2 linked regions of the Callithrix jacchus genome follow. The protein of the gene in region 2 interacts with the protein of the main gene of each other region in a biochemical or structural test. Links are inferred from orthologs where the notes say so. Each region holds a gene or a part of one and is shown on either strand. Other genes may lie near its edges.

What was found.
Region 1: of the proteins of PRKCZ (region 2) and MBP, one has a biochemical effect on the other in vitro, tested with the Homo sapiens proteins (2 studies listed by BioGRID). The link is inferred for Callithrix jacchus from reciprocal best matches to the Homo sapiens genes PRKCZ and MBP.

The regions. Positions count from the first base shown.
Region 1 is NC_133514.1:119,560,834-119,565,367, reverse strand, and holds the start of MBP (myelin basic protein), read left to right. Parts: upstream 1-1,700; 5' UTR 1,701-1,884; intron 1,885-4,534. UniProt on the Homo sapiens protein: The classic group of MBP isoforms (isoform 4-isoform 14) are with PLP the most abundant protein components of the myelin membrane in the CNS. They have a role in both its formation and stabilization.
Region 2 is NC_133508.1:40,123,870-40,127,665, forward strand, and holds part of PRKCZ (protein kinase C zeta type), read left to right. Parts: intron 1-1,831; coding exon 1,832-1,976; intron 1,977-2,909; coding exon 2,910-2,999; intron 3,000-3,796. UniProt on the Homo sapiens protein: Calcium- and diacylglycerol-independent serine/threonine-protein kinase that functions in phosphatidylinositol 3-kinase (PI3K) pathway and mitogen-activated protein (MAP) kinase cascade, and is involved in NF-kappa-B activation, mitogenic signaling, cell proliferation, cell polarity, inflammatory response and maintenance of long-term potentiation (LTP).

The sequences.
Region 1 (4,534 bases), on a different chromosome or scaffold from region 2:
GCTATTATCCATGTATATTTTCTTTGAAGACTCCATGAATTTTTAAAACTGCCGGGCTGCCCATCTGCGTGGACACTCTATCCCAACAAAATATGCACGGTGCAATTTTATAACTACTTTAAAAAAAGACTTTTAACTGGAACGTGTGGAGCCTGCCGTTTGCAGAGCTGACTGTTGGCGTATGTAATGTTTCAGGAAACCACTGAAACCCCAGCAGAAAGAGCACAGAACAGAAGGCCGCCTGCTGCTGCTGTCACTGTGGTCTGAGGGACGCTCCAGTGCCCAGAGCCCAGCTGCAGGGACATCAGCAGGCAGGAAGGTGGCTCCGCCTGTGGAGTCACGGAGATAAAGCCAAGAGATATTTTGGAGAAGAAAAGCTGTTTCTGATGTTAAAGCAGGTATCCAAAATAGGACCCAGTGTTCCAGCTTCCCGGCCTGGGCTTGAGTGACTTGAGCTGGGACCCGGGTGCACCTGCATTCACTGTCACCACCCGTGCTCCTAGGGCAGCTGTCCAGCCTCCCACACCCACTCGCTCATCCTTGACTTAAAGTGAGGTTGTGGGGACGGAAAAATCCGAGAAGCACACTTTACCTCTGACACCCTTTTCCCTGCCCCTTCTCACCTTCAGCCTCAAATTCCTAGAACCCTCCTGCCCTCTCCACTTGAAAATCTCTCCTGAGGAAAGGCCCAGACTAAATGCTTTGTACCATCGTCTAAATATTTCTCTTCAGTTAAGCAGCATTTGAACACAGTTGCTAAATCTTCCGGGTCTTCCGGGGAGGCTGGTTTTAGGCCGCAACCCCGACCCCCGCTGGAGCCGCCTCGCAGCGCGGCCCGGACAGCGCTCAGTCCTCTCCCTCACCTCCTGACGAACTGTGGGTCCCAGGCTGCCTCCGGAAGCCCCGGGTCCAGATCCCTGAGTGGGGGTGCAGGTCAGGAGGAATGCGGGGGCTCATTCGGGGACTCCCCACCTCCTCCTCCTCCTCCATCAGGTGACCGAGAATCCAGGGAAAGATCTCCCTGACCACCAACTGTGTGTGCAGGTCAGTTTTTCTGTTTAACAGTAGAGTGACGAAGACCACGACGCCTCCGTGCCGCGGGACCAGGCGGCTTCCCCGCACCTGGCGCGTTTGGCTGTCTTGTCCGCGCGGACTTCCTGCGCCCCTCCTGCAGGCGAAGGTGCGCTCCCGGCGCCCAGCGGAGCACCTGCCGGCCGCAGGTGGGCCTGGGCGGGGCTGCAGGGGAGGGAGGGCGCGCCTGGGAGGACCTGCCCGCTCCTCCCGCCTCCAGGGCGGGCTGACCCTCCTCCTGCAGGGTCGGGGCCGCGCCAAGTCCTTCAGCAGTTTCTGGGGTTTCCAGCCCCTGAGGACAAGGGGAGATGCGGCCTCGCTCCCCTCCGGCAAGGTCGGGGTCCGGGTGAGTTCGGAGGCCGAGCCACGGGGGAAGGGTCTCGGGCGAGGCTCCAGGCCGCCCCTTCTCCGAGGCCCGACCCTGAGCGTGAATCCCGTGCGACCCCCCCCCCCGGCTCCGAACTCCGCGTGGGCAAAGCGGGCCCGGGGGCCTCGGAGCTTCCCGGGAGGCCGCGTCGGGGGTGGGGGGACGGGCCCGGCGGGCTGGGCCTGTGTTTACCTGGCGCGCAGGAAGCCCGGGGAGGCGGGGCCGGGAGCGGAGTGCGCGCCCGTCCCTCGGAGCCGCCTTCAGTCTCCGCCGCCGCGCACCCGCGAGAAGCCGCCTCCCGCCCCGGCGGCCTAGGGCTCCCGACCCCGGAAGGCGGTGCAGGCTGTCTGGGGACCCCGCGAGCCGGCGCTTGAAGCCGGGACCTGCGCGCCCGGGCCTGGGACCCCGCGGCACCCCTCGGCCTCTGAGCAGCGAGCGCAGCGCCGGTGAGTGACCCTCGGGGGCGGGTGGGGGGCGGCTCTGGCGCCTTTGTCTCCGCGCCCCTCCGAGCGGGGACCGCGGAGACCTGGGCGGGTACCCGGGGCCGATCCCCGCGGGAGCCGTGGACTGAGAGTTGGGAACAGGAGCTGTCCCGGCGCCCGGACTCCGAGTCCCTTTCTCGGCCGAGAACGCGCAGGGGGAACCTGGGCAGTAGCGCAGGTGACCGGGCAGGTGGCAGCCGGGGGCCCCTGACCCGAACCCACGGCCCTGTCCCCGATCTCTACTGCGAGGGGGCGGGCGCGGGTGTAGACTCGGGTTTACTGCGCCGGGGTGGGATCCTGACAGGTGTCCAGGGTGGTCTTCAGCCAGGCCCGGCGTCCCGGGGTCGTAGAAACCGCTGGGCCTCGGGCCCCGGGGCTGAGGGGAGGAGTCTCGGGTGGGAGGGACGGCGGTCAGAAGCGGCCACTCAGGTGCGGAGAGGGTGCGGGCGGCGAGGGCGCGCTGGGGGGTCCTCCGGGCGCCTGCCAATCACGTCCCGGCTGCTCCCCCCCGAGGTGAAGCGCAGTTTCCCTCCGAACTCCGAGAGCGGCGGCGAGAGCCTGGGTTTGGGCTTCCGCCTTCTCGCGGCCTGTCTCGGGCTCCTCGGCTGGCCAGTCGCTGCGCCCACCTGGACCCACGTGCGCGCCCGCAGCTGCCGGTCCTCCCTCGCGGTGCTGAGCGCTGGGCTCGCGGGGCCGGGGTCTCCCCGGCTGCCCCTCCCGGGCCCGACGGCCTGTCCTGGGCCGGGGGCGTGGGGTGCGGGGTGCCCCCGAGGCCGGCGTATGTGACCGCGCAGTCATTTGCCGCCACCCTAGGTCTTCCCGGGCGCCGGGGGCAGCGCCTGTGCCCTTTCGCGTCCACCTGAACCCCCTGTTTCGGGAGGTGGAGTGGGGCTCGGGAAGGGGTTCAAGTGTCTTTAGGGATCCCTGTGCGACTCTGCCTGGAAACAGGCGCGTTCTGGTTCCTTGTTCCGTTTTCCGATTGCAACAACGTGAGAATCAACAAGTGCTCGGCTTCTCTGCGGGTGGGTGAGGGGCGCGTGGCTCGCCCGGCTTTGGGAGGGCGTGGACTTCGTTCCTGGGAGGTCTCTGCCTCATCTTGACCGCAGAACGCCCCGCCTGGAGAGAGAGCTTTTCAGAGGAAGGAAAGGTCAGGGAACAGCCAGTGTGTGTTTTGGACATTTTATTTGGTGAAGCTCCGGGGGATGGGTTAAGGAGGGTCACGCTCATGTTAGGGACCACATGGATGGAGTAGGGTCCTGAACTGAGCTCCCTGGCGGCCACCTCCAGCGATGGGTGCCTCCTTAGCCTCCTTAGCGGTTGGGACCCCGGGCTATGGATACGGCTCAGAGCCTGGAACCCAGCAGCCCTTCAGTAGAGGAGGGAAGGCCATGATCTGAAACCAGGCCGGCAGCCAGGGAGGGGATGCTCCCACGAGCCAAGGGATAAGGCACCACGCCAGAGGCTTTTTTTTTTTTTTTTTTTTTTTTATCAAGTGGGTTAAACAGAAACCTGAGTGAAAAGAATCCAGTTAAAAATGGTTGTAAATGCTGGAATAACTCTCAGGGAGTTAACTGTTCTCGAACAACCACCTCTGTTAACTCCGGGTTAAACAAAGCTATTCTGTTGTCATCTTCTTTGAAAACTCTCCAGAAGTATCGCAATTCTGCCCAGCGATAAGGAAGTGAAACATGCGTCACTTGATATAGATCTGGCAGCTCGTGGCTCCAGCTTGATTTGAAACGTCCGCTTTGAGTGTGGTGGGTCCCGGCTGTGGGCACTGATGAAAGGTGGCCACCGAACGCTGGGGGGAAAAGAGACCAGCCTTTCTCCTGACGTTTCTATTTCTGCCTGAATTTGTAAATGTTAATTGTAAGTTATTTTGTTTGACTTTTATCCCCAAGTTCTTTAAAAATACAGAAATTATCTGGGCGTGGTGGCAGGTGCCTTAATCCCAGCTACTTGGGAGGCTGAGATCTCTCGAACTTGGGAGGTGGAGGTTATAGTGAGCTGAGACCATGCCATTACACTCCAGCCTGTACAACAAGAGCAAAATTCTGTCTCAAAATAAAAAATAAAAAAAAGACATGCTTAAGATTAGCAGCTGCCTCTGTGCCTTTTCTGACCCCAGGGAGTGTTTATCGAGCACTTGCACATTGCCAGGCTCTCTTCTGAGAGCTGTTTGTCACCTCAGTTAACAGTTGTGATGGCCCTAGATACCCTCATTGGAGGTCACCGTGCTTTTCATATCTTCATTTTGACTGATGAGGAAGCAAGGCCCAGAGAGGTTAAGTTAGTCTAAGGGCACCCAGGAAGAGGCAGGATTCTGCCCAGGGAGTCTGCACCAGCGCCTCACTGCTGCTCTGCCCCGCTGTGGTGAACAGAATGCCTTGCAAAGGTGCTTATCATTCCTCCTTTTAAACTTCCACCCCTAATGATGAGTGGCGTGCACCCAGGGATGTTTCCTTTCAAGAATCATTTGACCAAAAGGTTCCTGTCATCCAACTTTGTTCATGATCCTCTCCTTAGCTTTCTTAGTTGCCAATGAAAAAGAAAGTATTCTAATTACTAATTACTCTTTTTTTTTTTTTTGGACGGTGTCTTGCTCTGTTGCCTA
Region 2 (3,796 bases):
CATGTTGGCCAGGATGATCTCGAATTCCTGACCTTGTGATCTGCTGGCCTCAGCCTCCCCGAGCGCTGGGATTACAGGTGTGAGCCACTGCACCTGGCCCAGCTCTGCCTTTTACCAAAACTTTTGTGTTCAGGGAGCTTCTCTGTGCAAAGCCCAGGGCTTGGTGCTGGGGCCAGGGTAGGGTAGTTCAGGGCTTGGTGCTGGGGCCAGGGTGGGGTAGTTCAGGGCTTGGTGCTGGGGCCCACAGAGGCACAGGAGTCTTATCTCTGGTGGTCCAGCTGGGTGCTGGGTCCTGGATGCCCCTGCCAAGGGGCACAGAGCAGCTGCTTGATTCAGGATTGGGATGGGGTTGGAGGTGGTGGCCGGACACTTCCCCAGGTGGCCCTGGGATTTTACTGGAGCTGCCCACCTGGCCTCCAGATTGGCAGGAAACAGTGGCTTCAACCTGGGGGCAAGACTGTAGGGGGAGGTGCATGGGGTAGGAAGAGGTCAAAGGTGAAGGGCTAGCCCACTCCCCCTCTGGAGTTTCTGGTGGCTGGACTGGTGGACACTCGGTCAGGCGGAAAGCGTCAACACCAGCTTGGGGCGACCCCAGGGTGACAGGTGTGTGATCCCCATTCCTCACTTTTCTGATCTGCTGTTGTGCCAAGGGAGGTGGTAAAGACGGAGCCAGGTTGGTCCCTATTAGGGGCAGGGGCTGGGAAGAGGTGGGTAACTGGGGCGTCCTCCCCCAGCTCCAGGTGGCCCAGGATGACTGTGAGGCCTGTGGGCCAGAGGCCTGGGCTGCTGTCCTGGCTGTGGACGGATCCTCTGTTCTGTTTGCACTGGAGCTCTTGTCTGGGACGAGGACTTTATTTCTGGAAACTTGTCTGACGAATTCAGATAGCCCTGATGGGGAGCCAAGCGTCAGTGGAGAGCAGAGCCTGTGTCTCTGTCATCTGGGATGTCTCACAGCCCTCCAGGCTTCTTGTTAGAAGTCCGGAGCTCTTGCCCCATGCTCTTGTGGGTGTCAGAAAGTTGTAGATTATCCTGCAATTTCAGTGTGTTCCGAGAGGGTGTGATTCCTGCTCAGAGGTTCAGGAAACACCAGCAAGGTCCACGGTGGGCTCTTCCCTCCACAAGGGGGGTACTCCATGCAGGGGGCGATGGGGAGATCTTGGTTCCCTCAGCAGGGAAGGCCAGTCCTCGAGGGCACCTGGGAGTCCCTGAGCTTCTCCAGCCCCTGGGGGTTGGGTCCTGTTTCTCGCTGAATAAAAGATAAAAGACATGACACACTGGGACTCGGTTTTCAAAAGGCAATGTGCCTGGGTTTCTGTGATAGCTGCATGAGGGACTCAGTCCCCTGCCAGGGTCTAAAGAGGAGCCTTTGACTATAATCCCTGGCCAAGTCACGCCTGAAGGTCTGGCTTCCACTCCTGGCACCGTCAGGGTCTGGGGGGAGGTCTGACTGGGTTCCTTGACCTTCATGAAGCTGGCGGGCCTGAAGTGACCTGGCTGTGCCCACCCCCAGGGTCATCCACATTTGGGTGAACTTGAACGGGTGCCCGAGCAGGTGTGGTTGCCTGGCTTCCCACAAGAGGGCGCTTTCTCTTCTGACGTTTTTGGCCTGATTCTTTCCAGCCAGGTGGTAGTGCTTTCTTCTCTGTGCAAGGGAGCTCTTGGTGGTAGTTTATTTAAACTATGTAACATTGTGGTTAATGGTTCTCTTTTGTGTGTGTGGGCGGGTGGGGCTGTCATATTGTCTTTGGGGAAAGTTTCGTTGATCTAATCAATGATTTGGTTAATCAGTAATCATTATTCAGTTGATTCCAGTATGCCCCCCCTGTAACAGGAGCCCATGTCCCCCCGCCCCAGGGACATCTTCATCACCAGTGTGGATGCCGCCACCACCTTCGAGGAGCTCTGTGAGGAAGTGAGAGACATGTGCCGCCTGCACCAGGAGCACCCACTCACCCTCAAGTGGGTGGACAGCGAAGGTAGCCCTTGTCCCGCGTCGGCCAGCGTCCTCAGCCTCAGGGACTTACTTCGCCGGGAGCCTCTGTGTGCAGAGTCTGCTCAGCCTCTTCTGTGGGGAGACTTAAAACCCTGAAATTAAGCTTGTTGAAGCCGAAGTTTCCCCAGCGGGGATGGTGGGAAAGAGGGTGGCCGAAAATGCTTAGAGCAGACCTGTGCCCAGATGCCGCTTGGTCACCAGGAGGGGCTGCAGGGGTCTCCCTAGCCCACCCCCTCCTCTGACTGCCCTTCTCATGTCCTGGGCTTTTCCGTAGGTGCCTGTGTGAGGACGGGCTCTTCATTTTCTCTATTATTCTTCTCCCTAACATATTCTATCACACACAGGCTTTTCATTTTCTGGGGACCAAGGGGAGGGCACATGCATCCAGGGCCTGCAGGCTCCATCTCCTCTCTTAGTCAGACACACATCCTAAGAAGCGAGGGGATTGGGAGACGTGCAGAGAGACCCCTTTCTCCAGGGACCGGCAGGCAGCTGTTGGCCGAGGACACGGCAGTGCAGGCGGAGCCTGATGGCGCTCCTGTTAGGTGGGGTGCAGCCCTGCAGGGGGTGGGTTCTGTACCCCGCCGTGTCCCTGTCCAGCCGTAGAGGGCGAGGAGCTTTCCCTCTGCCCAGGAGAATGTCCTCAGATCTGCTCACTGCTGAGCCCTCCAGGCAGCGTCCAGAGCTGTGGGTGGACTGACTTCCCTTCCCGGGTATGGACTCTGACACGGCATGGGGGCTGGGTGACTCTGAGTGTGGACAACTGTCCTTGGACCTCCCAACTCTGCCAGAGGTGGCTGGTCTGAGCAGTGAGACTTTGCCCCCAGACTCTTATCCAGTGTGCTCAGGGGGCCTGTCACGGCCCCCTTTGCCTCAGGCCTTCAGTGACCTCAGCACTGTCTGCTGCCCTGCCCAGGTGACCCTTGCACGGTGTCCTCCCAGATGGAGCTGGAGGAGGCTTTCCGCCTGGCCCGTCAGCACAGGGACGAAGGCCTCATCATCCACGGTCAGTGGCAGGGTCTGTGGTGGGCGGCTCTGGGGGGCTGTTCCTGGCTGTAGGTGTCTGCCAGACCACCTGGGGGGTTGGAAGCCATATAGGATCATGGTTTAAAATCCCATGATGCCAGAGGCTTTAGGGATGTCTAATGTAATGCCATGCAGTTTTTTTGCTCTTTGACATTTTATGAGCCCAAATGAAAACTGCTCTTGTGAAGAGCCCGTAAGCTGCTCAGAGGCTCCAGTGGCCAGCGTGGGGCCTGCAGATGGTGGGGACGGCCCCACCAGCCACCTCGCCTGCCCCGTGCTCTCTGGGCCTGTCTGCAGGTTCACAGCTGTCCTCAGCTTTAAGTTCGAAGCCCCATGATGAGCTGATACATGGGAGATGTGACTTGTCATTTCTACTGCCTTTGGGGGCACTTTAGCTGCTCCCAGTCCTGCCGGGGGTCTATGGGGCGTCTGTGGGGCCTGCTAGTGTGGTTCCAGCAGCTGTGGCCAGCCAGCCACATCTGTGTCCACTTCTGGCTGGCCACTGACCACTGAGCTGAAGATGGGACGAGAGCTGGGGCCGCCCGCAGTTCCTGCAGGTCCATCATTCTCCTGGACACCAGGCTACTTAGTTACAATACTTAATCTTTGTAGCCCTTTACATCTATGTGGATTTAGATTTAAAGCTTAGTGCAGTGCCTCATGCCTGTAATCCCAGTACTTTGGGAGGCCGAGGTTGGGGAAATAGCTTCAGCCTAGGAGTTCGAGACCAACCTGGGCAACCACTGAGACCCCGTCTCTCCAGAATTTTTTGTTCTG